Ovis aries: one gene and its partners. The protein of the gene in region 2 binds, or shares a complex with, the protein of the main gene of each other region. Links are inferred from orthologs where the notes say so. Each region holds a gene or a part of one and is shown on either strand. Other genes may lie near its edges.

What was found.
Region 1: EIF3G (region 2) and EIF3F share a complex: the UniProt entries of both Homo sapiens proteins name them as parts of the eukaryotic translation initiation factor 3 (eIF-3) complex. The link is inferred for Ovis aries from reciprocal best matches to the Homo sapiens genes EIF3G and EIF3F.
Region 3: EIF3G (region 2) and EIF3D share a complex: the UniProt entries of both Homo sapiens proteins name them as parts of the eukaryotic translation initiation factor 3 (eIF-3) complex. The link is inferred for Ovis aries from reciprocal best matches to the Homo sapiens genes EIF3G and EIF3D.

Annotation. Positions count from the first base shown.
Region 1 is NC_056068.1:44,239,847-44,249,325, reverse strand, and holds EIF3F (eukaryotic translation initiation factor 3 subunit F), read left to right. Parts: upstream 1-690; 5' UTR 691-707; coding exon 708-1,107; intron 1,108-4,877; coding exon 4,878-4,948; intron 4,949-5,188; coding exon 5,189-5,268; intron 5,269-5,695; coding exon 5,696-5,833; intron 5,834-7,174; coding exon 7,175-7,266; intron 7,267-7,650; coding exon 7,651-7,787; intron 7,788-7,906; coding exon 7,907-8,398; coding exon of another isoform or gene 8,399-8,476; 3' UTR 8,477-8,631; downstream 8,632-9,479. UniProt on the Homo sapiens protein: Component of the eukaryotic translation initiation factor 3 (eIF-3) complex, which is required for several steps in the initiation of protein synthesis.
Region 2 is NC_056058.1:12,523,453-12,534,252, reverse strand, and holds EIF3G (eukaryotic translation initiation factor 3 subunit G), read left to right. Parts: upstream 1-3,809; 5' UTR 3,810-3,859; coding exon 3,860-3,879; intron 3,880-4,027; coding exon 4,028-4,074; intron 4,075-4,669; coding exon 4,670-4,753; intron 4,754-4,861; coding exon 4,862-4,950; intron 4,951-5,094; coding exon 5,095-5,154; intron 5,155-6,322; coding exon 6,323-6,427; intron 6,428-6,531; coding exon 6,532-6,721; intron 6,722-7,485; coding exon 7,486-7,593; intron 7,594-7,715; coding exon 7,716-7,852; intron 7,853-7,939; coding exon 7,940-8,046; intron 8,047-8,327; coding exon 8,328-8,343; 3' UTR 8,344-8,452; downstream 8,453-10,800. Other genes in the region: P2RY11 (P2Y purinoceptor 11), read right to left, coding at 8,719-9,815. UniProt on the Homo sapiens protein: RNA-binding component of the eukaryotic translation initiation factor 3 (eIF-3) complex, which is required for several steps in the initiation of protein synthesis.
Region 3 is NC_056056.1:180,566,905-180,576,266, reverse strand, and holds the end of EIF3D (eukaryotic translation initiation factor 3 subunit D), read left to right. Parts: intron 1-184; coding exon 185-332; intron 333-955; coding exon 956-1,086; intron 1,087-2,234; coding exon 2,235-2,320; intron 2,321-2,412; coding exon 2,413-2,542; intron 2,543-4,499; coding exon 4,500-4,642; intron 4,643-4,907; coding exon 4,908-5,257; coding exon of another isoform or gene 5,258-5,292; exon of another isoform or gene 5,293-5,693; coding exon 5,694-5,707; 3' UTR 5,708-5,839; downstream 5,840-9,362. UniProt on the Homo sapiens protein: mRNA cap-binding component of the eukaryotic translation initiation factor 3 (eIF-3) complex, a complex required for several steps in the initiation of protein synthesis of a specialized repertoire of mRNAs.

The DNA of each region.
Region 1 (9,479 bases), on a different chromosome or scaffold from region 2:
TACTTGGACGCGCGTGATTAAGCAGGATTGCAGGGGCTGGGCAATCACAAAGAGCAGGACAAGGGTGCGTGAGATAAGCTCCAGTTCCTAGTATTCTAAGTCCTCACTTTCTGAGGCTACATGACCTAGAGTTACAGAGGCAGAACCAGCAGGAGTTTATGTAAAATTTTATCTTTCCCTCTTCACTAACACATTTGTTGCTGCTGCTGCTAAGTCGCTTCAGTCGTGTAAAAGTACTTGTCTCTCTCTACTAGAACGTAAAGTTTCAAGGACAATGGTCTTTATTTTGCTCTCTGATAGCTCCTAAAAGTGTCTGGCACATATTCAAATTGTTTAATGAATGACACACTGTATGGACACCTTAGGATGCAGTCAAGAACAAAGCTCTTTCCTTGATGCCAATTATCCCATTGAAGTGCCAGCTGCGACCTTTGCACCGCTCTATGGCTCCATCTGGTGGCAGTGTCTCTCTCCTCCCAGGGCGGTCGCAAGTTTACTCGGAACTACTTAGCTTGATTCTCACTGAGTGCGCATCGGACCAAAATCAAAGAGCACAAACACAGAGCCGGAAATTGTAGCTCTGAGAAGCATCATCAGTAGCCAGTAAGCAGAAGCACCTAGTTCACGTGGTGCAGGTTCAGCCTATGGTGCTCCTAATGTTCTCCAACTCGCTCCCTTCCGCTCCTCGCTCCTTCTCTCTCGACAAGATGGCCACACCGGCAGTACCGGCGAGCGCGCCTCCCGCCACCCCGTCCGAAGCCCCAGCTGCGGCCTCATCTCCGGCCTCGGCCTCGGCCCCGGCCCCAGCCCCAGCCTCAGCCTCGGCCCCGGCTCCATCGCCGGCTCCGGCTCCAGCTCCATCGCCGGCTCCCGCGTCATCCTCAGACCCGGCAGCAGCAGCGGCTACGACCGCGGCTCCGGGCCAGACCCCGGCCTCAGCGCCAGCCCCAGCGCAGACCCCCGCACAGTCTCTCTCTGGCCCTGCTCTCCCAGGCCCCTTCCCCGGCGGCCGCGTGGTCCGGCTGCACCCGGTCATTTTGGCCTCCATCGTGGACAGCTACGAGCGACGCAACGAGGGAGCTGCCCGAGTTATCGGGACCCTGCTGGGTGAGTGGTCAGGGGAAACTGACGTTCTCCTCTACTGCCCACCTTGTTTTATCTTGTCCCCCTTTCTTCTCACTCCCTTGTAGTTATTTGTTGAAAAAGTATCGTGTGCCAAGTGACTCACATTTTATTTTTAATCTTTGCAGTAGCATTTCACTTCAACGGTTATTAGTCCCAATCGACGGAAAATGTGTTCACAACCTTACTGGGACGTCAAAAACCTTTTGACTCCTTAAACCCAGTGACCAAGTTTTCCCCCCTTACCTACTACTGGTCTTTATTTTCCGAGTGTTAACCGAGAAGTTTTTTCTAACTAGTTGGCAATGGAGTGGGGACATCTGTAGAAAGATATCCCTCGCAGCAAGTAAACCAGTTTGGCAGGAACCCATTTGAATTTCAATATTCTGCTTTCTTAAACGTCTAAGCCTGATCCGCCTTTCCTCGCTCTCTGTAATACTAGTCACCAGTGAAATATAGACCCCCGTTCCCCCACTGTAGACTGTGATTCTTCGTTTGGACACAATTAATACAATACAAATCTATTCTTTGTATTAACGATTACATGGAGAAATAACTTTTTTCCCTGACATGTTCCAAATTTGAGAAATGGGTACTTTATGTTAGAGTAAAACCGAGAAGCCCTAAAAAGGGATTTCTGACGATGTATTCTTTTATCTGGGGACGTCGGGTCCCATCAGATTAATTTTTCACTCCATCTTGATCACAGATACGGGGCACTTTTGTGATTCCAGTTTAGTCCCATTTATGATTTCTCTTTCTTAACCCTTGAACTTGTAATAGTTTCCATTGTAGAAGACAGTTGGTGTATTGAGAAGAGGACGGTAGTTGTAGCCAGACTTCTGCAAAAGTTAGGGAAGTCTCTTTCCTTCAGGGACTTGCTGAAGACATCTAACTGTGCTGACACAGACTAGGTATGAAGCAGCTGTCGGTTGCTGTCGTCCACCGCATCATGCACACTCCTGACACACACATTCTCTCTCTTATCTTTGAGAGAGTAGCATTTCACGGAAACTTCAGTTGATCCGTTATCTTACGAACATTGCCATAGCTATCTCAAACCAAGCCTTTGTATTCTCTTTGCTTGTTCTCCCTTATTTTTTCCTTTAAGCTCCACTCATTTTCCAGGTTCCCAGGAAAAGTTTTCACTCTGTCCTTCATCCCATACCCCCACCCTCACCTCTACTCATAATCTCCCAAAGTGTGAAAGTGTTAGTCACTCAGTCCTGTCGGACTCTTTGCGACCCCATGGACTCTATGGTAAGAAACAATTCTCAATTCTCCACCCTAGGTTTGTATTCAGTTCAGTTCAGTCGTGTCCGACTCTTTGCGACCCCATGAATCGCAGCACGCCAGGCCTCCCTGTCCATCACCAAATCCCGGAGTTTACTCAGTCTCATGCCCATCAAGTCGGTGATGCCATCCAGCCATCTCTTCCTCGTTCGTCCCCTTCTCCTCCTGCCCCCAATCCCTCCCAGCATCAGGGTCTTTTCCAGTGAGTCAACTCTTCGCATGAGGTGGCCAAAGTACTGGAGTTCAGCTTTAGCATCAGTCCTTCCAGTGAACACCCAGGACTGATCTCCTTCAGAATGGACTGGTTGGATCTCCTTGCAGTCCAAGGGACTCTCAAGAGTCTTCTCCAACACCACAATTCAAAAGCATCAATTCTTTGGCGCTCAGCCTTCTTCACAGTCCAACTCTCACATCCATACATAACCACTGGAAAAACCATAGCCTTGACTAGATGGAACTTAGTCGGCAAAGTAATGTCTCTCCTTTTGAACATACTATCTAGGTTGGTCATAACTTTTCTTCCAAGGAGTAAGCATCTTTCAATTTCATGGCTGCAATCACCATCTACAGTGATTTTGGAGCCCCCAAAAATAAAGTCTGACACTGTTTCCACTGTTTTCCCATCTATTTCCCATGAAGTGATGGGACTGGATGCCATGATCTTCGTTTTCTGAATGTTGAGCTTTAAGCCAACTTTTTCACTCTGCTCCTTCACTTTCATCAAGAGGCTTTTTAGTTCCTCTTCACTTTCTGCCATGAGGGTGGTGTCACCTGCATATCTGAGGTTATTGATAGTTCTCCCGGCAGTCGTGATTCCAGCTTGTGCTTCTTCCAGCCCAGCATTTCTCATGATGTACTCTGCATAGAAGTTAAATAAGCAGGGTGACAATATACAGCCTTGACGTACTCCTTTTCCTATTTGGAAAAGGCTGCTGTTCCATGTCCAGTTCGAACTGTTGCTTCCTGACCTGCATGTAGGTTTCTCAAGAGGCAGGTCAGGTGGTCTGGTATTCCCATCTCTTTCAGAATTTTCCACAATTTATTGTGATCCAGACACTCAAAGGTTTTGGCATAGTCAGTAAAGCAGAAATAGGTTTGTATTAGGTGCCCCCAAATATTACAGTGACCGGAGTTAGACCAGCTGTCATCTAGGGTTTCAGCTCCTCTTCCAGAATGGAACCGTGGTACAATGCTAGATGTTACAGAGGCAGTGCTTACTGAAGAGTGACGCACAGATTCCACTTGCTGAGAACCTTAGAAATTTTAAGTTAGAAAGCGATTCATGAGACATATTCCATTTGGTTAAATTAAATCACTAGTACCTTTTATGTGCCATAAAACTATTAGATACTTAGAATTCAAAAGCTGATAAAACGAATGCTACTCTTAACCTTAGATTCAAGATGAAGATGTACTCTTACATGCAAGTCACTGGAGTATAATGTGATAAATGCTCTAGTAGAAGGATGCCATAATGGCATGCAAGTACAGAAGACTTGACTATTTCAGAAGTTCGAGTGGTCAAGTCTGTTGACAAGAGGTCAAATAAGATACAGAGTATGCATACTGCTAAATGTAAAATAACAAGGACTTACTGTATAGCATAGGGAACTATACTTAGTATTAATGGAAAAGAATCCGAAAAAGAATATGTGTGTATATACAGGTATAACTGAATCACTTTTCTGTACACTTGTAACATTGCAAATCAACTGTACTTCAATTAAAAAGAAAAAGTATCATTGGGTTTGGGGATATAGTTTCAGCCAAGAGGGCAGAAACCACAGTGAAGTGGGATTAAATGACCCTGATGGGTCAGGAGCAACATTGTAGTTTGTTGGAGAAGAAAGCACTGGAAGCTAGCAGGAGGGGCTAGTAGGTTAGGGTAAGGAGCAATCAAGGATTGAGAGTCTTCGTGAGGTCAAGAAACAATGTAGCAGGAATAAAAATATCAGAACTAGGAAAAGTTTGTGGCGTGATGTTTAGTGTTCACAGGGAGAAGTTTTCTGGATGATGGTAGGGTTAAGGTTATGACTGGGACCATATGGCTGCAGGGAGGTACAGGGGAAGCTCCCTAAAAGTATTCTCTGAGGATGGGCTACTACATGAATGGTCTTCATAGACACAGTGAGAATCCTCCAGGCAGCTGTGCAGGTGAATTATATTAAGAAGAAAGTCCAGAGGCTGAAAGACGAAGATCTTAGAGTGAAGATCTGGAGCAGGATGGGTAGCAGGAAGTGAGGCAAAAGGAGGCCCTGGGAAGGAAGAATAGACCCTGTTAAAGAAGAGAGTTGGAGATAACTGTGGAGTTTCATTTCTCTGGAAAACCCAGCTTCCATTGGTGCACATGGCTGAAACTTGATTTTTGTTGTTGTTCCTTGACTTTGAGGAGACCTCTTGAAAGCATTTGGGGCAGTTGGAAGCCCAAGATTTTATAACACTTGGACTATTCTCTCTCACAGGAACCGTTGACAAGCACTCAGTGGAAGTCACCAATTGCTTTTCAGTGCCACACAATGAGTCAGAAGATGAGGTGAGTGGGGATTTGAGGCCCCCATACGGACTATGACTATTCATTTGCCAGGCTCTCTGTGAGGCCCTCCTACACCAAGTGTGCCATGCTCATAATTAGAACTGCAGTTCGAAGAGCTTTGTTCCATTTGGACATACTTGCCGGGCCTCTCCTCTTTGTTGAGAGTGGCCTCTTGTCCTGTTCACCCATTTTGCTGTGGACTTGTGGCTTCTTAGCCTTCTTTTCTGCCCTTCTTCTTAGGTGGCTGTTGACATGGAATTTGCTAAGAACATGTATGAGTTGCACAAGAAAGTCTCTCCAAACGAGCTCATCCTGGGCTGGTGAGTTGGGACAGGGGTGGAACGTCTCTGGTTGATTGCCAGCGCCTTTTGCCACCTGACTAGGTATCGTACTTCCTCTTTTGGAGACAGGGTATTGAATGTGTATTATCTCAAGGGGCCAGGAATTCTGTGTGTTTTGCTGGCAGTTCTGATCCTGTGAGGCCAAGAATACTCATTTTGAGCTGCAGCTTCTGAGCAAGTCGTTTTTGCCTTGCTGGTGACTTAGTTTTTCATGAGCTTTTAAGTCAGCCTTGTTTTAATTGATTTAATAAAATTATCAGTGTGCTTTTTTTTTTTTTTCCTCAATGTTGTCCCTGGGGGTATAACTACTGCAAGGGTGTCAGGTGCCCAGAGACACCCATGCCACCATCCTGTTTAGTATTGATGTCACATGTGGACATGAGTCCACAACTCTTCCATTTTCCAGGTACGCTACAGGCCATGACATCACGGAGCACTCAGTGCTGATCCATGAGTACTACAGCCGAGAAGCCCCCAACCCCATTCACCTCACAGTGGACACCAGCCTCCAGAATGGCCGCATGAGCATCAAGGCCTACGTCAGGTGACCGGGGGCTTGGGCCGCAAGGGCATGAAGGCTCCTTCATTCCTGCTAAGCCTGGGTGTGACACCCGCCTCCACCCCATGCCAGTGTCATCCTGCAGTCTGCAACTTGCTGCCTCCTAAGGGAGCCCCTGCCTCACTCTCGGCAGTTATCACTGGAGAGGTTTTACTCAGAAAGAAACTGTCCCTGAAGTTACCACTCACTGACCCTTGCCTGCCCAGACTTCTGCTCATTGCTCATAGCCAGTTTCCAAGGGCAGCCCTTTAGGTATTTGAGCAAGCTCGTTTTTCCTGTCATCTTTTCCAGAAGTTAACTCATACACAGCTCCTACCGCCGATCCTCACATGGCATGCTGGCCAGGATTCTTCTCCACGTTCACTGATTTTTTGAATTGCCCTTAAGTTTGTCAAAATCCCTAAAACTGTGCATAGAAAACAGGGCAGTACAGATTGAAGAATGGCTGTCCTTATCTTACACATGTCTATTAATCCTGGATATAGTACAGTTCGAATGATAGTAACATTGCTCTGTTGGCACATTGAGCTTGCAAGCAACTGGAATGCTGGGTGATGGGGGATGTTGGGAAAGGCTATAGTGGCATGCCAAAAAAGCGGCGGCTGTAGGAGTTGAAAGGATTATATTTTCTCCTTGGAATGATGCCCTTTGTTAGTGCATCTCTTACGACACTTAACTTTGTGCTGTTTCTATCTCTGACGCTGAAGTGACCCGTTAACCATTATGCGGTGGGATAGAGGTGGTGCATGTCAGTTCTTACAGGCCAGTTATTATACTACTAAACTCTATTTGTTGATTTCTTAGCCTTTCCAAATATTTCAGACTCCTGTAGATCCAACGAAAGTGTATAGTTGACTAAGTAAAGGCAGTCACCTTTACTGAGATTAATTATTGCACCCAGTCTAATCTTGATGGACCAGAATAGATTTTTTTTTTCAGTGCTGATGAGTGCTTTTTGGTCCCAGAAGAGACCTGTCCTGTCACTTCTTTCTGTGGGGAAGGATGTCTAGGCACCCAGTTCCACAGGGATATTCAGCGTCCTGTCCTCTTCACTGAGATTTCAGTGTGTGCAGTAATCCTCTGTAAAGGGTCCAGGCCCCATCCAAATGCTGAGTCCATTCTCTCAGGCCAAGAGTTTGGTTTGTGGAAAGAGCTAAGGGAAGAAAGTGGCTTGTTCTCTTCAGACCTCTGGGCTTCATCTGGTCCAACCTTCTCATCTCAGAACCTTGGAAGCCATACTCTTGATATGCCTGCTTTCCCAGCCAGGACCGAACATGGAAACTGTCCCCCAAAGCCATCTGTTAACCTTGACTTCTGTCTCTGCAGCACTTTAATGGGTGTTCCTGGGAGGACCATGGGGGTGATGTTCACCCCTCTAACAGTGAAATACACATACTACGACACTGAACGCATAGGAGGTAAGTGACCTCCCCATTTTTAGGTCCTGGACATTTTTCAAGGGAGGGGATTTCTATATAACAAGGATGGAGGACCTTGGGTGGCTTAAGAGCAACCATTGATCTAAGGTTTGTATGGGACTCAAGGAATTATTTGAGAAGTTGTTAGAGGTGGGAAATCATCAGCCCCAGAGGCTACGTGGCCAGTCATATAAGACCAAAACTAGTGATTAGCATCCTAGGTGCAGGAGTTGAACTCTCTCAGAGGAAGAAAAGCTAGTGGGGGGGGGGGGGGGGTGGGGAGTTCAGGGAAGCTGACTGAGTCCAGAAGGAGGTAGTTAGAGCTCGCTTTTCTGATGGGATGGCTGAATTCTCTTGTCTCTTGCACCCCGCCTGCTCCCACAGTTGACCTGATCATGAAGACCTGTTTTAGCCCCAACCGGGTGATCGGCCTCTCCAGTGACTTGCAGCAAGTGGGCGGGGCTTCCGCTCGCATCCAGGACGCCCTCAGCACAGTGTTGCAGTATGCGGAGGACGTGCTGGTGAGGACGGGAGGAGGAGGGCGTGGGTCTCCGCTGCGAGGCGGCAGGGGCTGCACTGGCGAAGCCGCGGTCTCAGAGGCAAGAATTAACCGTGCTACATTGACTCTTTTGGTGCTTAGTCTGGGAAGGTGTCAGCCGACAATACCGTGGGCCGCTTCTTGATGAGTCTGGTTAACCAAGTACCCAAAATAGTTCCCGAGGACTTCGAGACCATGCTCAACAGCAATATCAACGTGAGTGGCGTCCCTGGGCTCCTGGGAGCCTGCACCTCAGCACGTACACGTGTGAAGGGGGTGGAGGAGGTGGCCTGGAGAGGACAGAGGAGGTGGGGCAGCACGTTTGGCCCCCTTGCAGTCCAGGCTGTGAGGAGGAGAGCACAGGTGCTCAGAGATTCTCCTGCCGTTTCTTTGCTTCCCATGACTCGGGTGTATCAGAGATGGGACGATGTTCTCAGGCGTTTCCTTTCTGTCTTCCTCCTACTCTCAGTCAGCCTCTCCCAGCTTTCATTTGCCCAGGACTGCCTTACCCTCAGTGTCCATCACACAGCTGGCCAGCCTTTCTGCTTACTCTCTACCCAGCCCCGCACTCATCCTGGATTCCTTCTCTTCTAGGACCTGTTGATGGTGACATATCTGGCCAACCTCACACAGTCACAAATTGCCCTCAATGAGAAGCTTGTGAACCTGTGAAGGGGCCGCGGGCAACCCTCCTGCTACACTGGGCCCCAGCCAAGCCCAGGACCCAGAATGGAGTGAAGGAGAAATGGTGTCTGTGGTCTGAGTCACACTGAGTCAATCAACTGCTTGTGACTCTAAATAAACATAGAGTACCTTTCGTAAGTGAATTCCATCTAATGTGAGTTTCCCTCTGGGTGGAAGGGAAAAGGCAGTTCTGGAGCTCACCCAGGAACTAGGAAGTGAGTACTTTGGTGGAAGCGGTCGTGTGTGTGTGGTCTGAATCCAGGGCTGGATTTTTTTCTTGTGCCACTGTCTGCTTCATAGTTTAGTTGCCCAGTGAAATAACTGCTCTCATAAAGCAAAAATACAACATAATGGGAATGTAAGGGCTGACCAGAGTCTGTCAGAGTCTATGTAAGACATGATATCTGAGCTGATGTTTTTTTCTTAAAACCAGGAAATCCGGAAAGGGTGATTGGGACAAAGGAAGTACATGGAAAATTGCTTAACCTGTTTAGAATCTAAGAAGGCAGGAGCCAGACCAGAAGGGCCCACAACCTGTGGAGTTTGGATTTTTATCCTGGAAGTTGTGGGAAGGCATTGGATAATTAGATTTGGATTTCAGGAAGATTACTGGGTACTGGTATAGAGGAAGGAGGGAAAGGGAGAAAAACAGAAGGCAGAGAGCTAGGCAGAGGGTCACTGTGATTGTCAAGAGAGGACGAGAGCCCAGGTTCAGGCTGGGCCTTGGGGATGGTGACAGAGACTTGGGTTCAGGAGGCAGACCCAAGGAGGACCTGGAGTCTGGTTGACACTTGGATGGTGAGAGATGGGAGCAGTCTGGGATGTTGCCTGGTTTCTGATAAAGGTGATAAAAGGCCTGGTCATATATGAAAACCCTGGCTACTCGAGAGTGGTGGAAGCTGAGGATGCAAAGGTAGGGTTACAGGGTAGTTTACCAAATGGTGAAGTCTTAAATGCAGATAAATGTGACATTTTGTAAACTGGGGCCACA
Region 2 (10,800 bases):
CCGGTGAGCCACAACTACTGAGCTTGTGCTCTAAAGATCCTGCTGTGCAACAGCGGAAGCCACCACAGGAGAAACCCCTTTGGCTGCAACTAGAGAAAGCCCTCACAGTAATGAAGACCCAGCACAGCCCAAAATAAATAAAATAATTTTTTAAGTCATGTTTACACTATGTACATACATGTGTATGTGCTCAGTGGCGTCCAAGTCTTTGTGACCTTGTGGACTGTAGCCCACTAGGCTCCTCTGTCCATGGCATTCTACAGGCAAGAATACTGGAATGGGTTGCCGTTTTCTTCTCCAGGGAATCCTCCCGACTCAGGGATCAAACCCACATCTCTTACATCTCCTGCATTGGCAGTTGGATTCTTTACCACAAGCGCCACCTGGGAAGCCCTATGTAGTCTATTTAAAGGGCACAATAGTATTATGTCTAGGAAAAAAAAAAACTTTTAATTTAATAATACTTTACTGCTAAAAATGCTAAATAAACATCATCTGACCATGCAGGGTTCCCATAAACCTTCAACTGGTAGGAAATCTATAAAGTGCAATGAAACAAAGTATGCCTGTAAAGATGAGGCCAAGTCGAAACACCCAGAAGCATCAGTGTTTAGTGGTTAAGGTCCTTTTGGGTAGCCAGAAATGGGCCCAGTTTTCTCTAACAGGGGTGAAGCTCGTTGGGCAATATTTAGCTAATCCCTTAGTCATGACCGTTGTGCTGTTTTCAGTTCCAGCCCTTTAAACCACATTGCACTGGACGCCTTCTTATAGCCAGTTTAGTGCACTTGGATGTATATTTCCTTAGGTCCCTTCTAGAAGAGGACATGCAAATTTGTGAGTATGAAAAACATGTTAAAAGGACTTTCCTGGTGGTCCATGACCAAGACTTCAAGTTACCAATGCAGGGGGTGGGGGAAGGGGCCCAGTTCAATCCCTGGTCAGGCAACTAGACCCCACATGGTGCAACTAAAGATCCCACATGCGACTAAGACACGGTGCAGCCAAGTAAGTAAACACAAAAAGAGAAGAGATTTAAAAAATATATTAAAATATATATACATACATTATATCTTGCATACATAACATAGGATGTATGCTATATATTAATACAAAAAATATAACTATAGTTTATGTATATGTTTATATTTAAACCAAAAAAAATCAGATGGTAAAAATTTTAAGTAAAACAGAAGTTTAGAAATAAGCTGCTCTTTCCTGATGGCTTCCTCTCAAAGCATTCTCTCAGCAACAGTTTGATAATTCTGATCCTAAAATAGCTTGAATGTATCTACATATCTATCTACTATTATTAAAGATGTACAAAAATTGGTTCCTATAGCATATGCCATTTTATACCTTGCTTCATCTCCTTTTCTTAGATGTATTTTTAACATGACCTCAAGTAGATCTACTTCCTTAAGGACTGAATAGCATTTAATAGATTACAGCATAGCATGCCTTTTTTTCTTTTAATATTTATTTATTTGGCTACACCAGGTCTTAGTTGCAGCATGCCAGATCTTCCCTGACCAGGGATCAAACCCAGGCCCCCTGAATCAGGAGCTCTGCATCTTAGCCACTGGACCACCAGGGAAGTCCCAGCAAGCATAACACGTCTTAATCTATTTAACCAGCTGCTGTTAATGGGCAGATAGGAATTTCCAGTTTTTGCTATCATGAACAGTACTGCTCGCATAGCTTGTTCTCACATCTTTACATACATTCCCAGGTTTTTCTCACAGGTTGAATTGTCAACTGGCTCAAAGGAAGACATGTAAGTGTATTTAAGCTTTAGTAGATATCATCAATATGCCATCTGAAGAGTTTGCATAATCTCACTAACAAAGTACGGGAGTGTCTTTTTCTCTGTATCTTTGCTACCATTGAGTAATATCGAATTTTTACAGTTTTGCCCAACTGCAACATTCAGTGTTTGGATTTTGCATTTCTTGAAGTAAACTTGAGTGAGTTTGCACAAATGTTTATTGATTCTTTGTACAAACTTTATAATAGTTTCATCTGTTGCCAGACTGCCCTCTTTCTTTTCTTTTCTTTTTTTTTTTTTGGCAGTGCCTCACAGCTTGCAGTCCTAGTTTCCTGGCCAGGAACTGAACCCATGACCCCTACAATAGAAGTTTGAAGTCCTAACCACTGATTGCTACTGTCTTGTCCGACTCTTTGTAACCCCATGGACTGCGGCATGCCAAGCTTCCCTGTCCTGCACTATCTCTCAGAGTTTGCTCAGATTCATGTCTACTGAGTCAGTGATGCTATCTAACCATCTCATCCTCTGGTGCCCTCTGGACCACCAGGAATTCCCAACCACCCTCTTTATTTACTTATTTTCCCAGCCTCCTTCCTGGTCTGCTGATTTATTCCTTTCCACCCTATCCTCTACAGGCTTCCAGAATAATCTTTCTCACAAGAAAATCTGGTCACATTGGGTCACCATTCAGAACATGTCAGCGCCTCACTCACACCCCACAGCCTGCAGGATAAAGAGCCTGTGCTGGGAATTCCCTGGTGGTCCAGTGGCTAAAACTCTGTGCTCAAGATACAGGGTGGCTGGGTTTGATCCTTGGTCAGGGAACTAGTTCCCACGTGCCACAACTAAGACTCTATGCAGCCAAATAAATAAAAATAAATATTTTTAAAAATGTTATATATGTTATATATATATACATGTATATATATGTAATATATATATAAGAGACTATGATCTTTAGTCTAGTTTTTAAAGTCCTTTATAATCTGGTTCCTGTCGGTTCCAAATACCCATGAATTGAGCACTTATCAAGTGTAGACACCCTGAGGGTGCTGGGGACCCAGAAGTGAACAAAGCAGGCAAATGTGTTTCTGCAGAAGTCTGCAGCAGTTTTTACCATTTTTTTCATTATCATCCCTCTAAAGGAGAAAAATGGAATTATCTTCCATTTAAATCAGTGTTAATCTAATTACATTTAATTTCTCCCTAACAATAGAAATTAAATGTTTAGAAATAAGATTTTGTCTGGGAGGGTTGGCTTTGGAGGCCACAAGTCATTGTCATCTCCAAGTTGGTTTTTTTTTTGTTTGTTTCTTTTTTGCCACAGAACAATTAATTTTGGTCCCCTTGGGAGTCATATCACTCCCACTGAGAATGCATACAGTAGAGGGAACGCTGGACAATAAGCAATAAATTAAAGAAAATGGAAAAGATTATATCAGGGAGCCAAGAATGTTACTAGGAATTCCCCGGTGGTCCAGTGGTTAAGACTCTGCACTTCCACTGCAGCGCCCAGTTCTGATACCTGGTTAGGGAATTAAGATTCTGCAAGCCTCACAGTGCGGGGGGGGGAGTTACTCAAGGAGGGAGAATAGTTAGGGGGTGACTTGATATCTTGATCATTTGAATCAGAAAAGTTATTTCCAGGCAAGGAAGACCAGTTTTGGTTTCTTCAGCTGAAAAATGGAAACGATAATTTCCTCCTCACAGTTCCTGCAAACAGTCAGAGCTATATAATTGAGCTTTATTGTCATTATTTTTAATTTTTAAAAAAAGTAAAAGAAAAGGTCCGGTGGTTAAGATTCAGTGATCCCAATGCAGGCCCTCCTGGTCCAGGAACTAGATCCTACATGCCGCAACTAAGACCCAGCGCAGCCAAATAAATAAATAAATAAATAAGATTTTCAGGTAAATGAGCCGAGCCTCTAATAGTAAGATACCAGGGCCCAGCCTCTCACATAGGCGGCGCTTCTACCTCCGTCCGTAGGGGGCGCTGTGGAGTGCTACGGCTGCTCTAGGCAGCGGAGCCGGAAGTCTCTTTCACCTCTTACTTCCGGTCTTTGGCCCAGGCTTGGGCTGCGTGGAGATTTTGCGATGCCGACCGGAGACTTTGAGTGAGTCAGGGGTCGTGGAGGGGGTTTGGTAAGCAGACCGGGGATGGGGGGCGGTCCTAGGAGTTAATATAGAGCCTGGGTGCGTTGAGGCCGCGGGAGCTGGGCCTCGCCTCACTCATCCCTCCTTTTGACAAACTTGTCCCCGCAGTTCGAAGCCCAGTTGGGCGGACCAGGTGGAAGAGGAAGGAGAGGACGGTGAGTCTACCTTGTCGCCTCGGATCACCGCAGCCCGGCCTCCCCCCGCCGCCCCAGGCCGTCACTGCTGCCTGCTCTGATCCTCCACCCTGGCACCGCCGTCAGACCCTGCATCTCCCCTCACAGCCAGCCCCTGCCCCGCGCCACTCTCATCTGGGCCAGCCTATCTCCAACTCCATACGTTCACCAGCCAGCCCATCTTCTGCCGTGCCACCGCCCAAGTCCTTGATGCCAGCACTTCTGCTTCCCTGCTCCTGGCAGGAAATTGTTTAACAGCCACACTCCTGCCTTTGTATTAATACTATTGCCCGGATGCCTGTGGCCCTCCCCTTCCCTCAGGCCCTCAGGCCCTCAGGCCCTCAGGCCAAGGATCCCCTTCCCCTTCTCATTGCTGGAAGTTACTACCGGCCAGCTCCGTGTCCCTGAATGGCTATCCCAAGACACTTCCTGGCCAGTCCTCTGCCCTTGGTCCCACCTTTCTCAGCTCCTGGTGCAGGCATCATCCCAAAGGTCCCTTGATTTCAGCTTGGGAGTTCCTGTCGCTGCCCACCCCTACCCCCCAGCTGACCCCTGCTCCCTCCACTCCCTGTCACAGACAAATGTGTCACCAGCGAGCTCCTCAAGGGGATCCCCCTGGCCACTGGGGATACCAGTCCAGAGCCTGAGCTATTGCCGGGAGGTGAGTGCCCGACTTCACTCCAGCCCTGGGCCGTCTCTCTCCCCAGCCTCCTTCCTTCTGGTCCCTATTACCCAGGGCTCAGTTCCTTTGTCTCTTCCTCTCTCCCAGCTCCACTGCCACCTCCCAAGGAGGTCATCAATGGAAACATCAAAACAGTGACGGAGTATAAGATAGATGAGGATGGCAAGAAGTTCAAGGTGAGGCTGGGGAAGAGGTGGGAGCCCTTTGCTTGAGGGGCACTTGGACTAGGGAGAGAGTGGTGTGTTGGATGTCTTGATGAGGAAGATCTGCTAGGAACCTTGAGGAGCAGAAGGCCCAAACGTTTCCCCTCCTATCCACAGATCGTCCGCACCTTCAGAATTGAGACCCGGAAGGCCTCAAAGGCTGTGGCAAGGAGGAAGGTAAGACCCTTCTCCCCCTTCCTTGGGGGCTCCTCCAGGGCTGACTCAAAGAAAAAATAGGAGTTCTTTTCCCTATTGCCTTCATTTTTAGAAGTGGGGTTTAACTGTTTGTTAAACAATTTCCTGGTGGCTTCCCTGGTGGCTCAGTGGTAAAGAATCTTCCTGCAATGCAGGAGATGCTGGTTCATCCCTGGGTCAGGACGGTACCCTGGAGAAGGGGATGATTACCCACTCCAGTGTTCTTGCCTGGAGAATTCCATGGACAGAGGAGCCTGGTGGGCTATAGTCCATAGGGTCGCAAAAAGTTAGACATGATTGAGAGACTGATGCTTTTTTGTTTCTTTCTAATTGTTTGGTTGCACCACACAGCATGTGGGATCTTAGTTCCCCGAGCAAGGCTTGAAACCACACCTTGTGCATTGAGAGTGCGGAGTCTTAACCACTGGGCCACCGGGGAAGTCCCCTGGGTGTACCTCTTCTGTTGGAGCAGAACTGAGGCCTGTGTGCAGTCCGTGGGGGCCCTGAAAAGTCCAGCAGGTGCAGGAGTGGGAGCGGAGGGGTTGGTTCTTACTTCTCTCGGCTTGTCGCCTGGGAGGAACAGAGCCAAAGCCCTCCTGTGAGGTGGTCGTAGCAGCAGAAGTGATGGCAGTAAATACGTTTTGCACAGTTACCTACATACTCGGTGTTAGACTCAGGTGCTTCGTGGGAAGTATTTTCTCATTCATTCCCCTAGCATTCCAGGGAGGTGTGGGGAGCATTGTGGTCCCTTATAGGGGAGGATGCCAAGGTACAGGTTGTTTAAGGAGCTCAAGGCCCCTGGAAATCTGGGTGATCCTGCACACCCCTGAGTATCACTCGGTGGAAGCTGGTCAGCCCCTGCCAGGGGTTGTTGGCTCTGGACCTGTTTACCCCTGAGCCTCAGTTTTCTCATCTGTAACATGAGGCTGAGAGCTGCCCCTACTCTTGGAGCTGGCATGGAGCTGGGGCCTGGCATGCCCTCAGGGAATAGCAACTGTCATCATCGCTTCTCCAAGGAGCATTTGAGGGCGGTGAATAGGGTTCAAGACTCACTCACCCTCAAGGTGGCTCTTGTTAAGTCTAGGGTGCAAATGGAGGGGGTCCCACTTGTCCTTGCCCTGACCTGTCCCCCATCCTGCCTTGAGCTCAGAACTGGAAGAAGTTTGGGAACTCAGAATTTGACCCACCGGGGCCCAACGTAGCCACCACCACAGTCAGCGATGATGTATCCATGACATTCATCACCAGCAAAGAGGTAAGTGTGGTGGCTGGCAGGGGGAGCCAGTGGCCAGGGTGTTACTGGAGGCAGCAGGGGAGCAGCTGAACTACCGTCTGAACTGCCACCACCTGCCCTGCCAGGATCTGAACTGCCAGGAAGAGGAGGACCCAATGAACAAGCTCAAGGGCCAGAAGATAGTGTCCTGCCGAATCTGCAAGGGTGACCACTGGACCACCCGCTGCCCCTACAAGGACACGTTGGGGCCCATGCAGAAGGAGCTGGCCGAACAGCTGGGCCTGTCCACTGGCGAGAAGGAGAAGCTCCCCGGAGGTGCCAGGACCTTGGGATATTGCTGGCAGGCTTGGGGGTTGGGGGGAGGAGTGGGAGTGGAACACAGGAATTGCGTGCATCTCTGGGAGTCGTGGGTCCTCACCTGGGGTCTGGACAGGACCAGCAGTGTTGGTGGTTATCACCTCCCACACGGCAGTAAGGCTGTGGCCACAGCCCACGTTGGTTTATGTGAAAGGCTGCAGGTGGGTGCTCTGCTGGTGACGTCACCTGTCTCTTCCTGTTGGGGCTGGTGAGAGCCTGTAGTGAGCACGGCTGCAGGTGTAAGGACATTGCGCGTAGTGAGGGAAGATGGCTGTTCTCTCAGTGTGTCTGTCCTGACAGGAGCTTGCTGTGTTTGCACACGTATGCATGCACACACACAGACACACACACATACACTGGAGTTCTATACTTGTGACTCGTGTGCACAGCCACTTGTCACCTGTCCCCGGGATGGGACCCTGGGGGCTGTTGCTACCCTGTGCACCGTCCTGGTGTGTGTGTGAGGCTGGGCGTTTTCTCACTGTGGGTTCTCTCGCTTTTCCTGTGCTGCTGGCAGGCCGGACATGTGGGTGGATCAGCCTGGGTGTGACCTTTAAGTCCTTTTAGTCCTTTTAAGACCTTTAGCCCTTGAAGAGATCCCCCAGATGGCCTGTGGTTTGAGAGGGAGGGTGCTTGGGGCTGGATCATGGCCGGAGCGGCTAGCGTCCTGGGCCAGGCCTGTGCCAGGGGAAGCTGGACCTAACCTTGCTTTTGGTCCCCAGAGCTGGAGCCTGTGCAGGCCACTCAAAACAAGACTGGGAAGTACGTGCCTCCTAGCCTGCGCGACGGGGCCAGCCGCCGCGGGGAGTCCATGCAGCCCAACCGCAGAGGTGAGGCGGGGGGGGGGGGCACCCCAGTGCTGGGCTGGTGCGCGGGCGGGCACCCCTTGTACCCTGTGATTATCCTGTGGGTGGGGCCGGCCCCTCAGCGACGCCTCTCCTTGCCTGCCCAGCTGATGACAATGCCACCATCCGTGTCACCAACCTGTCTGAGGACACTCGTGAGACTGACCTGCAGGAGCTCTTCCGGCCCTTTGGCTCCATCTCCCGCATCTACCTGGCAAAGGACAAGACCACTGGCCAGTCCAAGGTGGGCCAGTGGCCGTGGGGGCGGGGCGGGGTCCTGACTCCCAGCGGTGCCCTGAGCATTGTCCCTGACCCCCACTCCCTCCCCCAGGGCTTTGCCTTCATCAGCTTCCACCGCCGCGAGGACGCTGCGCGTGCCATTGCCGGGGTATCCGGCTTTGGCTACGACCACCTCATCCTCAACGTCGAGTGGGCCAAGTAAGACCTCTGCCCTCCGCCGCCCCTCATGGCATTGTAGCTGATGCTTGGGCTGACTGTGGGCCTCACCAGGGATGTCCCGGGGTGTGGGTCTTTGCTTCTCATGGAGGGCCCCACACCCCTAGGCCTGTCTGGCCCCAGGTGTGCTCCGTGCCGTGTCCCCCTTCCTCCCCGTTGAGTTCGTGTTGTGTATGTAAGATGGGTGGTGGTCCTGGGACTCCCTAAAGGGTCTAGAGCCCCCTCACTTGCCATCCTCACCCACCTCCTGCTTCCCTTTCTAGGCCATCAACCAATTAAGCCAGCTGCTGCTGTTGCTGCTCAGCCCCTGGCCCCGGGAACCTTCAGTGACAGAAGGCAGCCTCCTGGAGCAGAGGGCTTCAGGGCAATAAAAAGTCTCTAGTCTCTAGCCTTGTGCCGGACCATTTATTCCCTGATGTCAATCACACTGTTGTGGGTGGGGCTAGAGCCGGGGCCAACCCTCCACCCCCCACCCCCCCCATCTTGGGTTTGCTCTGTGGCCCTGCCCAGGGTTAGTGCTGTGAGTGGAAGCTCCTGCAGCTTTGGCAGCCTTTCTGTGGGGAGGAAGTGGCTCCTGGGGGCCTGCCCTCTGCCTCCATTCTGCTGCTGGGTTCCAGCATCTTGTGATGAGGAGGGGGCTGAAGATGGGCCAGGTCACGGGCTCAGCTCGGGGGACTGGAGCTCTGAGGTTTGGGGGGTTGCTGTGACGTTGAGGGGCAGGGCTTGGCTGGAGCACGGAGTGTCCTTTGGGGTCTGTCCCTGCCCGCAGCGTTGGCGGCAGCAGTCCAGGCTGGGCACCACAGCCATGTAGAGTAGCGGGTGGATGCAGATGGCTAGGGGTACAAGGCCCCGTGTCACCTGGTGGGCCAAGTATGTCCTTTGGTCCAGTGCCTTCTCAGCCGCGGCCTCACTCGCAAAACCTGGGCAGAGGGCTTGCCAGCGCAGCCGGGCGTACACGTTGAGCACTGCCGTGATATAGTAGGGCACGTAGGAACTGGCATAGAGGGCCACGCCGCTGGCCACCAGCACCATCACCTGCAGCTTGTTGGCTGCTGTCATGCCGTGGCTGTGCTGCACGGCCCGCCCCAGGGCGCCATAGGCTGCCAGGGTGAGCAGCAGCGGCAGGCCGCAGCCCAGGGCCGCCAGCGCCAGGCTGTAGACCCGGTAGGCCTCAAGCTGGCTGTCACCCGCTGTCCCCAGGCACTTGGTACAGGCCCCTGGGCTGGTCACAGAGCACTGGCCTTGGCGCTGGGACCTGCTCAGGTGAGAGAAGCTGAGCGTGGGGGCAGCGAGCAGGACCGCCAGCGCCCAGCCAGCGGCGCTGACAGCCCAGGCGTGCTTGGGCCGCAGTTGGCTGTGGGTGAAGAAGGGGTGGACGATGCCCATGTAGCGGTTGAGGCTGATGCAGGTGATGAAGATGACGCTACCCAGCAGGTTGCAGGTGAAGAGGAAGCGCTCGAGGCGGCAGGCAGCCTCGCCGTAGCGCCAGTGCTTGGGCGGGTAGAAGTAGGCAGCAAGGGGGGGCAGCGTCAGGGCGTAGAGCAGGTCGCTGACCGCCAGCTGGGCCGAGAAGATCACAGCTGGGGGCCAAGGGCGCTGCTCCCGGCTGCAGAACCGGTACAGGGCCAGGCTGTTGCAGGCCAAGGCCACCAGGAACTCGGCTACCAGCATGGGCCACAGAAAGCCCTCTTGGAGGCCACTGAGGAGGCGATCTGCAGCCTCCGAGAAGTTGACTGGGCACTGCATGGCACCTGTGAGCAGAGGGTTTGGCACATCAACCCTGCCCCTCACTGTGGCTCCCGCTGTGGCACCCTTACCTATTGTGTCCCAGGAGCCCCTTGTGGGCATGTTTCCAGAGTGCTTTTGCACACCCAGGATGGGGGGTGCCAGCCACAGCACGTTTGTACAGAGGGACTCAGAGACCAAGGAAGGTTAGAAGCCCAGGGTCCATTAGGCTGTGTCCTGGGGCAAGAACCAGGGAGGCACATAACCTGGCATCGACCACCAGCGCCACCCGGGCCTGGGGTGAAGCAAGAGCCCCCCACCCCCACCCCCCTCTACAACTCTAAGTCCCACATGTCAGTCTGTACCCCCAAGTGTCACCATCTACCTGGATCAGGAGTCTGGTCCACCTCGCTGTCCCTGCTCCCACCCTCATCATCCATCTGTCCTCACAGCCTCCAAAGGGCACCTGAGTCAGGTCACAGCCATACACTCCCAGACTCTCTCCCTACCTACCTGGAAGAAAAAACAGTACTCATCTCTTCCCACAGTGCCCTGAGGGAGCTACCGCTCCCCCACCACCCACTCATTTGTGGCTCTCACCAACCATGGTGTCCTGGCTGTTCTTTAAGGCAAAACCTACCTCAGGGCCTTTGCACTGGCTGATGCACCAGGCTTCCCTGGAGGCAGTCCCCCTCTCCTCCTCCTGGTCTCGGGTCCTAAGGGGACCTAACCTGGCGACTGCTCCCCGTGGTCCCCTACCGTGCTTACTTTTCCTCCACAGCTCTATCCCCATCCATGTGACCACTGTAAAGAAAATCCCCAGAACTTTCCCTCCCGAGGGTAGAAGTGCCCTGCTCCTGGCCTCCGCATGCCAGCACTTGGGATACGGCAGTGTAGGGGAGCTGAGCTCTGTAACCTATCCTTCATACACCCTACTCAGCCTCAGCTTTCTTAGGAATGGCCTGGACTCCTGGCTGGTCCAGCAGGCGGGCCATTAGCTCTGTGCACATA
Region 3 (9,362 bases), on a different chromosome or scaffold from region 2:
GGTCGGGAAACTGTAATTCCTTGGATCCAGGATACAAGCTTGCTGGCTGGCTTGCTACAGCCTGGCTTAGACAACCAGAGGTGTAGGTATGGGTGTGGGGCTCCTTACAGACAAGTCCTTTGCCTCCTGTGAATGGGCAGGTGAGCCCCAAAGTAGCCCCATCTCTCTGCTGTCCTCCTTGCAGCTGGCGAAGACTCAGGGCAACGTGTTTGCCACCGACGCCATTCTGGCCACACTGATGAGCTGCACCCGCTCTGTGTATTCCTGGGACATCGTCGTCCAGAGGGTCGGGTCCAAGCTCTTTTTTGACAAGAGGGACAACTCTGACTTTGGTAAGAAGCCTGTCTAGGAACAACACAGAGGCTCTGAGTGTCCTTGTTGGTCCAAAGCCATTCCCAGGCACAGAGAATGGGTAGAAGGTGTCCTGTCTCCCCACGAACACCAACAGCCATGTCAGAATGCCCCTCAGCCTCCTCAGAGATAGAGGAAGGGGCTGTCACTGCAGTACCCCTGCCAGGGCCCCAGCCTTCTGAGTCCTCGTGGCACCCCAACGCCGTGTTCCCACTCACTCGAATAGCGTCTTCCTGACTTCTGTCATCTCTCCGTACCACCTTCAGCATGCACTTGACACTTTTCTTTGGATTGATGCCTTTTTTATTTCAGCATATTCATGAAGGGAAAATGCACATGTACCATACACACAGGTATGTACACACACACATTGAATGAAAACCAGGTCACTCAAAAACAGATGTGGTTGTGACAGAATTCAACGTTAGCATCTCAGGCTATCCAGAACCCGCCCCACCCACCCCCGCTCAGGAGACCCAGGGCCGCAGCTGGCGGTCCTTGGAGGAAGGGCCTGTGTCATTTGAATCACCGCATCTCCCTAAGGGGCCCTACCCCTCTTTGGTGACTGTTTCACGGGTGGGTGACCGTGCTGCCGGTTTTGCAGACCTTCTGACAGTGAGTGAGACAGCCAACGAGCCCCCTCAAGATGAGGGTAACTCCTTCAACTCGCCCCGCAACCTGGCCATGGAGGCAACCTACATCAACCACAACTTCTCCCAGCAGTGCTTGAGGATGGTAAGGTCCTGAGCGCGTTCAGTTCATCGACCCCAGTTGCTGTCTACTGAGCACGTACTGGGTCGTCAGCTCTGGGTTGTGGGATTAGACAAGACAGAGCGGGGTCCCTGCTTGTCACAGAAGAGATCTCTGCTTGGGCTCTGAGGTCAGAAGGCCTGACTTTGAGCCCTAGATTCACCCCTTTTAGCTTTGTGGTGCCAGTCATGTTTCTTCTCTGAAATTGTTTAGTTGCAAAGTTGTGTCTGATTCTTTTAAGACCACATGCACTACAGCCTACCAGGCTCCTCTGTCCTTGGGATTTCCCAGGCAAGAATACTGGAGTGGGTTGCCATTTCCTTCTCCCAGGGATCTTCCCGATCCAGGGATGGAACCCACATCTCCCGCACTACAGACAGATTCTTTACCCCCGAGCCACCAGGGAATCCCCTCTGTAAAGTTAGAATACTTGAATAATACTTGTCTCATATAGATACATTGTGAAGATTCCTTGAAATATATGACCAGGACACCCTTGTGCACAGATACAGGTGCATTGCTTAGGAGCTGGGCATACAGCAACCAGCCAGCCAAAGTGCCTGCCCTTAGAAACCTTCATCATAATGGAGGAGGAAAGATCTTCCCTGTGGCTCAGGTGGTAAAGAATCTGCCTGCAGTGCAGGAGACCTGGGTGGGATCCCTGGGTCGGGAAGATCCTCTGGAGAAGGGAACAACAGTCCACTCTCTTCCCTGAAGAATCCCATGGATAGAGGAGCCTGACAGGCTGCAGTTCACGGGGTCGCAAAGAGTCAGACACGACTGAGCGACTAACACACAATGGAGGAAAGATGGTAAGCTCAGGATACATACATGCTGTGACAAATGATTGTGTGTACCTTGGAGGAAAACATAACAGGAGGGGGTGCTGTTGCTAGTTAAATAAGAGACTAGAAGCTCGTGTTTCACAAACTTGAGCATAGGGTGAACTCGAGCGGTACCTCTGTTGTGACCCACGGGGTGCTCACTTGGCCTCGGCAGTGTGCCCAGAGCCCCCTCAAGCTCTAGGGACCCGGGGGGGGGGGTGGGCTGTGACAAAGGAGAGGTGCAGGTTATGGCTGATTGCCTTGGCAACGGGTTGGCACTGTCTCACAACACCTGTGTCATTTTTACAGGGGAAGGAAAGATACAACTTCCCCAACCCCAACCCATTTGTGGAGGACGACATGGATAAGAATGAGATCGCCTCTGTGGCGTACCGGTATGTCTCCTCCCTGGTGTCCCCACCCTGTGTGGGTGGTGCATCTGGACCCAGGGCCTCAGGTGACCAGAGGCACTCGCTCTTCCTTGCAGTTACCGCCGGTGGAAGCTCGGGGACGACATCGACCTCATCGTCCGCTGTGAGCACGACGGTGTCATGACTGGAGCCAACGGGGAGGTGTCCTTCATCAACATCAAGACCCTCAACGAGTGGGACTCCAGGGTGAGGCACACGGGACACCATGTCCCGGGCTGGCGCCTGCAGCCTGTGTCTCTTCCCCTTGCCTCATTTACAGAGGTTTTCTGTCTTCTGAGTTTTCCCCCTACTTAGTTCCGCTTTGAGGAAGAGATCGTGTGTGCGGGTGATTACCTTTCCTCGGTGTTTTCTGTCTGTCCATTCCGATCTCCTGTTGGCTTCTGCCCTCTGCAAGTCTCTCCTTATGAGCTGGGCTGGCAGCTCTCCTGTAAGTCGGGCAGCTCTCCTGACCTGTTATTTACTTATGGCAGCCCCTACCTGGTTTTCAACCTTGTGGCACCCTTTTTTCAACTTCGTCTCTTACTGAACTCAGATTCTCAGATTATCCCAGATCTGGCTTTTCAGGAGGGGCATCTTGAAAGAAATACGCATCCTTCATTTTTCCTTCTCTTTTCGTTCTCCCAGGCTGGTGTGCCAGGATGGGGCTATCATCCTTTCTGAAAGTACCTGGCCTACACACCTGAATTTAAAATGTGTGGCCATGCTCCTAGTCACTGGTGTATAGAATAAAAGGGTCTTGGTTAGGACAGCAAGGACAGGCCTGTGTTAACGAGGGTCCAGTGAGATGGAGGTCAGGGCCCATTGTGCTGTGCCTGCGTTAGAGCCAAGGCATTAGCATTCCAGGCACCAGGTTTCACTCCTCATGTGTTCTTTAGTTTCTGTCACCTGCTGAGAGCACCCTGGAAGGTTTGCTGCGAACCTAGCTCTGAACCAGTGGCCTTTTCTTAGACTTTGACCACAGCCTCCCAGGAACATCGTTCTGTGTGACTGTGCCCTCTGCTACTGCCATAGTCTGGTCCTGCACGTTTCTCAGCTGCCTTCACGTTTCCTTTGCTGTTTCCCCTCCTTTTTAATCCCCCAGTGGCGCCTTCTCTTAGGGTCGGTCCCTTATGCAACTCTTTTGCCGCAGTCACTTCTTTATACTGTGCGTGGTCCACTCAGGTGGTCTCCCTATCTTAAGAGACCTTGATTCCATCTGCAGAATCTCTTTATAGACATGAGGTAGCGTGATCCTGGGTAGTTATACTCAGGGTTCCCCCAGACTCCAGGATAGCAGATGCAGCAAGAGCAGGGCCACCAGGGACCATCTTAGAATTAAGCCTAACCCCAAGCCTCATCCTTGAACTCCAGAAATGATTCCTGAAATCTCTTCTGACTCCTGTTCCATCATTGTTGTTTTTGTTTTGGAATTTTTTGGTGGTGGTTTTTTTCTAAAATACTTTGTCCTTTCAGTGTCTTCCTTTGTCATTCCCTCTGGCTTGACTGTCCACTGGTGTCATTTCTCCTGCTCGCTTAGGCTCAGAGCCTCAAACGTCTCCTCCTCCTCCGCTGCACCCTTGAATTCTGCTGTCAGGCTCAGTCTGTCTACTTGCCCAGCCCTAGGTTTCACTGACATCACCCTAGTTCAGGAGCCTTCTCATGACGCCTGATATTTTGCATTTGTCTCTTAACTGACCTCCCTAACTCCCTCTCCATCAGGTCAAACCTACCTGACCTCCCCTCCCTCTGCGGGCTTCCGCACTAAAGCAGTCCATCTCTTCCTTGTCCCTCTCAGCCCTCCCAGCTCCAGCTTCTGCCAGTATTCCCCACGGGTGAGCTGTCACACTCCCCTGTGAAACTCTTCCTCTCCAAACCACATGTGATAAACACTTGTATGGCACTTGTTTCTAACGTGTGAATATATGTCCTGGTCTGATTAAGACCTTGTGAAGAGAGGAGTTAAGTTTGTTGAGCACCAGCTATGTGGCAGGCTGTGCAAAGGAGGGACGGAGGCCCTACCCCTTAAATGATGTCTTCTGCTCTACCTGTGGGCTTTCCCCTCCCTGGTTAAGCCCACTAGGGACCTTCTTCTCTACCAGAGGGGCCATCAGTCCACAGGCAGCATGGTGCCTTGGCGCCTATAACCAGGGCCCTCCTCCCACAGCACTGTAACGGCGTTGACTGGCGACAGAAGCTTGATTCTCAGCGAGGGGCTGTCATTGCCACCGAGCTGAAAAACAACAGCTACAAGTTGGCCCGCTGGACCTGCTGTGCTTTGCTGGCCGGATCCGAGTACCTCAAGCTTGGGTGAGATTCCTGCCCAGGAGCCATGAGCTCATCTTCGGAAAGGAGGGGTCTTCGCGTTAGGAGACCAAGGCTGCCTTTTTCTCCCTTTTCTTGGGACAAGCACGAGGCCACCATTTAACTAGTAACTCAACCCCAGGCACAGCTATGTCTTTGTTCCGGCAGGCCCCACCCTAACACTCCTCCCCCCAGTAGTTAACGTGTCCCAGTGCCACACGATCTGTGCCAGCCAGGCCCCACCGTAACACTGCCACCCACCTCCCCCCAGTTATGTGTCCCAGTGCCACATGGTCTGTGCCGGCGGGCCCCACCCTAACACTCCTCCCCCCGGCAGTTATGTGTCCCGGTACCACGTGAAAGACTCCTCACGCCACGTCATCCTGGGTACCCAGCAGTTCAAGCCCAACGAGTTCGCCAGTCAGATCAACCTGAGCGTGGAGAATGCCTGGGGCATCCTGCGCTGCGTCATCGACATCTGCATGAAGCTGGAGGAGGGCAAGTACCTCATCCTCAAGGACCCCAACAAGCAGGTCATCCGTGTCTACAGCCTGCCCGACGGCACCTTCAGCTCCGATGAGGACGACGAGGAGGAGGAGGAGGAGGAAGAGGAAGAAGAAGGTGTGTGGCAAGCCTCCCTCAGGATTCTGGCGTGACCTGTGGGCTGGTTGGGGCCTCTAACCAACCAGTCCTCTAACCTCAGTGGAAAACTCCAGGAATTCCCTGAGGCTTCACTTGGTATGGCATTCAGTCTAGTTCCAGGAGCCACTTCCAGAGCCTTTCGAGCACTTGACGGGGTTGGCGAGGAGAGTTAGGGCAGGAAAGAAACGTCTAGAGGAATGTGCTAGAAGTCCCTGATACTAGCCAGTGGCCCCAAGAAGGAATGATGCTCCAGGTTCATGTTAGGCCTTAAATCGTTCTCTCACCTGCTTCACCAGTTGGTGACTAAAGGAAATACCTGTTAGTCCTCTGAGGATCTGAATGGTTTCACATCTGAGTGAAAGTGTTGGAAATCATAAGCAATTCACCAATTTGATACAACCTTTGTATGTTTCAGAGGAAGAAGCCTGAACCAGATGGTGACGCGGAACTGGTGTCTGCGACTGCATCGAGCCTGGAGGACCCTGAATACCTGGTGGGATGTGTGTCTGACTCTTGCTCTCTGAAGCTGGGCTATTGAAATAAACTCTATTTAGTCCCTTACCTTCATCTGTGCCTACATTATGACCGATAGCCCTTCTTCCTTCTCCTAGTAGCCTTTCAGAGAGGGAGGGTGAGACACAGCAGAGTCTCTCTGGAGTTCATAATCTGGGTTCCCGCCTTTGTTCTCAGCATTAGTGGTTTTACATTCCTGCTAGAAGGTGAATGCCCTGGGGTGTTTTGTTCTTGGAACCCCTTGAAATTATCCTTTGCCAGGGAGTGAGATCCATTGTGAGGTCCCCATAGGAAGTCCATTTCACAAGCACAAGCTGGCTACATGCCAGACCCAGCTGCTGCCCTGAGACACACACATCACAGTAATGATGAAGCAGGGCAGTCTTTGAAGCTTGAGGTGAGGTCGCTGCTGTGAAGGAGACCGCTTCAGAATGTCCTGAGGGATGTTCCATAGGCTGTTGATTGTAATGGTTTGTATAAACTTCCCTGATAGCTCAGTTGGTAAAGAATCCACCTGCAATGCAGGAGACCCCAGTTCAATTCTTGGGTCAGGAAGATCCCCTGGAGAAGAGATAGGCTACCCACTCCAGTATTCTTGGGCTTCCCTTGTGGCTCAGCTGGTAAAGAATCTGCCTGCGGTGTGAGAGACCTGGGTTTGATCCCTGGGTTGGGAAGATCCTCTGGAGAAGGGAAAGGCTACCCACTCCAGTATTCTGGCCTAAAGAATTCCACAGACTGTGTAGTCCATGGGGTCGCAAAGAGTCAGACACAACTGAGCAACTTTCACTTTCACTTGGCTTGGGCTGGTGATGTGCTCTCAAGCCGGCACCCTCAAAGCACTGTGTCATGAACAAATATCTCATCCTGACACAGAACTGTGATGCTGGTGGAAGTGATGCCATTGTACAGATAAGACTGGCTCCACTTTTGGGTAGCAGTCCTAAATTTAACGATTTTGGTCAAAATAATTAAGCCTCAGAAAGCAAGCAAAAATGTATCGGACTTTATTGTCCAAGTTACTAGGAAAACCGTATTAAGGTGTGCTTCTTGGGGAGTTTTCGGTGTAGGTGGAGCATTAGAAAATTCACATTATAGTGTGACAAGTGTGGGGTTTCAAGGTCAGGCTGGTACTCCCCAAGCTGCCTCCTGCAGACCCAGCATGCAACCTAGCAGGATTATCTGGAACAAGTGGCCCAAACACGTCTTAACAGCAACCTCCACCTGCTTCATGTCTTTCATCTGTCCTCCACTTCCCCCAAGTTGATGGCTGTAAATAGCCCTGCCTCAAAACCGGTAGCATTCTACAGTCCAGGCTCAGCCTAGTCTGAAGGCCCTGCCATACCTTATCAGTCCTAATTTCCCAGTACAAGATAAGACCAGCAGTTTGAAGTACTTAATTATTTGTCCACACCCATTCTCATGATCATCATAACTACTAAGAAGTTGACCTCCCTAGCTTCATTTTTGGTTAGGTGCTTTTGTCTGCTTTTAGTGTTTATTCAACAAATTACTAAGGGCCTGCTGTATGTCAGATACTGATGGAAGCCCTGAGGTCGCTATAATGATTAAGATTCATTTCTGCTCTAACAGGAGCTTTTCTCTGAGGCTAATAACAGGCTAGGAAAAAAATAAATGGCATTCCTAAGGGTGTACTTAGGTCTGAGAGCTCAAGAAAGACTCTCTAGAGAAGTTTCAGTGATGAAAAGCTGGGAAACCAGTGTTTTTCCAAACTCACCGTGGCTGCCTTCCCACTGGAACCCTCAGCCCCATCTCACAGGACTACTTAACAGCTCCTGAGGTTCTTCCTTTATTCATGGGTGCACTGTATTCCGTGCAGGTAAATCTCATTCAGGATTCACAGTTCACCTCAGGAATGCCAGCCCCGGCCACCCAGTTCCCTTGAGTGGGGTGCAGGGTCACCCAGTCACCCTCTATATTGCCTCCACTTCAGCCACAGTTGCTGGGCATGAGCAGTGGATTTGGGCTTGGGTGTCTACACTGCTCTGTCATAGGCCCCTTTGTTTACAGTATTACCAATGATAAGGTAAAAATTTCTATTTTAAGGCAAGACAAGAAAGGTTAAAACCTCTTCCCTCCCCTCTAGTGTGCATTGTGCTTCCGTGTTATGCATTAACCACAAGTCCTCAATGGCAGAAATAACCTGCTCAACCATAAAGTTCAGTTTTTCTTCTGGTGCCAGTCATGGAACTCCTTAGGAGATAACATTCATTTTTCGGTCCTGTAAGGGGTCACAGTGACCCACCACGTGCTTTGTACATGCAGACATCTTTGTTGAACTTCATGTACAATGCCAATGTGCCATTTCCCTTAAAAGACAGCGATGAGGGCAGAAAGGACTAGTCAGATGACCTGGGGAGTTACTGGGCTGCACCTAACGAAAGCTCTCAGCTTAAATACTTCCTTAGGAAAGAATGTTGCTAGCTGTATTTCACACGTTCTGCCTATTTTACAAGACTTTTTTTTTGAGTTGCTGTTGTCTTAGTTGTGGCACACAAGCTGTTTGTTGCAGCCTGTGGGCTTCTCCCGAGTTGTGGTGCATGGGCTCCTGAGCACACAGGTTCAGTAGTTGTGGCTCACAGGCTTGGCTGCCCCATGGTATATGGGATCTTAGTTCCCCGACCTGAGATGGAACCCATGTCCCCTGCATTGGAAGGCAGATTCTTAACCACTGGACTACCAAAGAAGTCCTTAAGAATATTGTTTCTTACACAACCAGATGTGTGACAGAGCCTCCAATAAAAATGATGACTAGGCGACCACAACAAATAACACCGTTCTACAAGGTCAGTGACAGTAACAGTCTGACTCTATAGATAATGGGAAGAAATAGAGAGGATCATTACCTGAACCATAGCAGACCAGTAAGACAGGAGGTCCAGAGGCTTTTGGCTTCTACTAACAGAACCCAGTCCAGTAATAACACACTGAATGGCCTATCAATGATTCCTTGCCTGGCCTGAGAATGAGCATTCCTATCACCATGCGCCATATCAGTCACAGAATACCTCTCAAACCTTGGTCAAAATTAAGACTGAAAGGGAAGGGACTGTAAAATAAGGAATATAGCCTCCCACCCAGTTCTACAAGAATCAAGTCATTAGCCACTTGATGACCTACATATACCATGAGAGGAATTCGGGATGAGAATTTGGACAAGGCAGTTTTGTGCTCTAGGAAACCTGATAGGACTAGCCTTCAGACAGATATTTTCAACAGAAAAATTCCTGAACCCAGTTTCTCGCATCTTGCCATACTTAAGAACTAAAACCATTAAGCTGTTAATTCCTCCTAAAGAGCAACAACCTTCTACCAAGCCGTGTGCTTGATTGCGTATGTCCCTTCATCAGAATCACATATAAACTGGCTTCCCTCCCCTACCCCTTGGTTACAGTCCTCAGAGCTTTCTGAAAGACTGTCTCCTAGGTTATAGTCCTTTGTTGCTGTTCAGTCACCCAGTCTTGTCCGACTGTCTGCAATCCCATGAGGTCCTTCATGGTCTCCCTGAGTTTGCTCAAACTCATGTCCTTTGAGTTGATGATGCCACCTAACC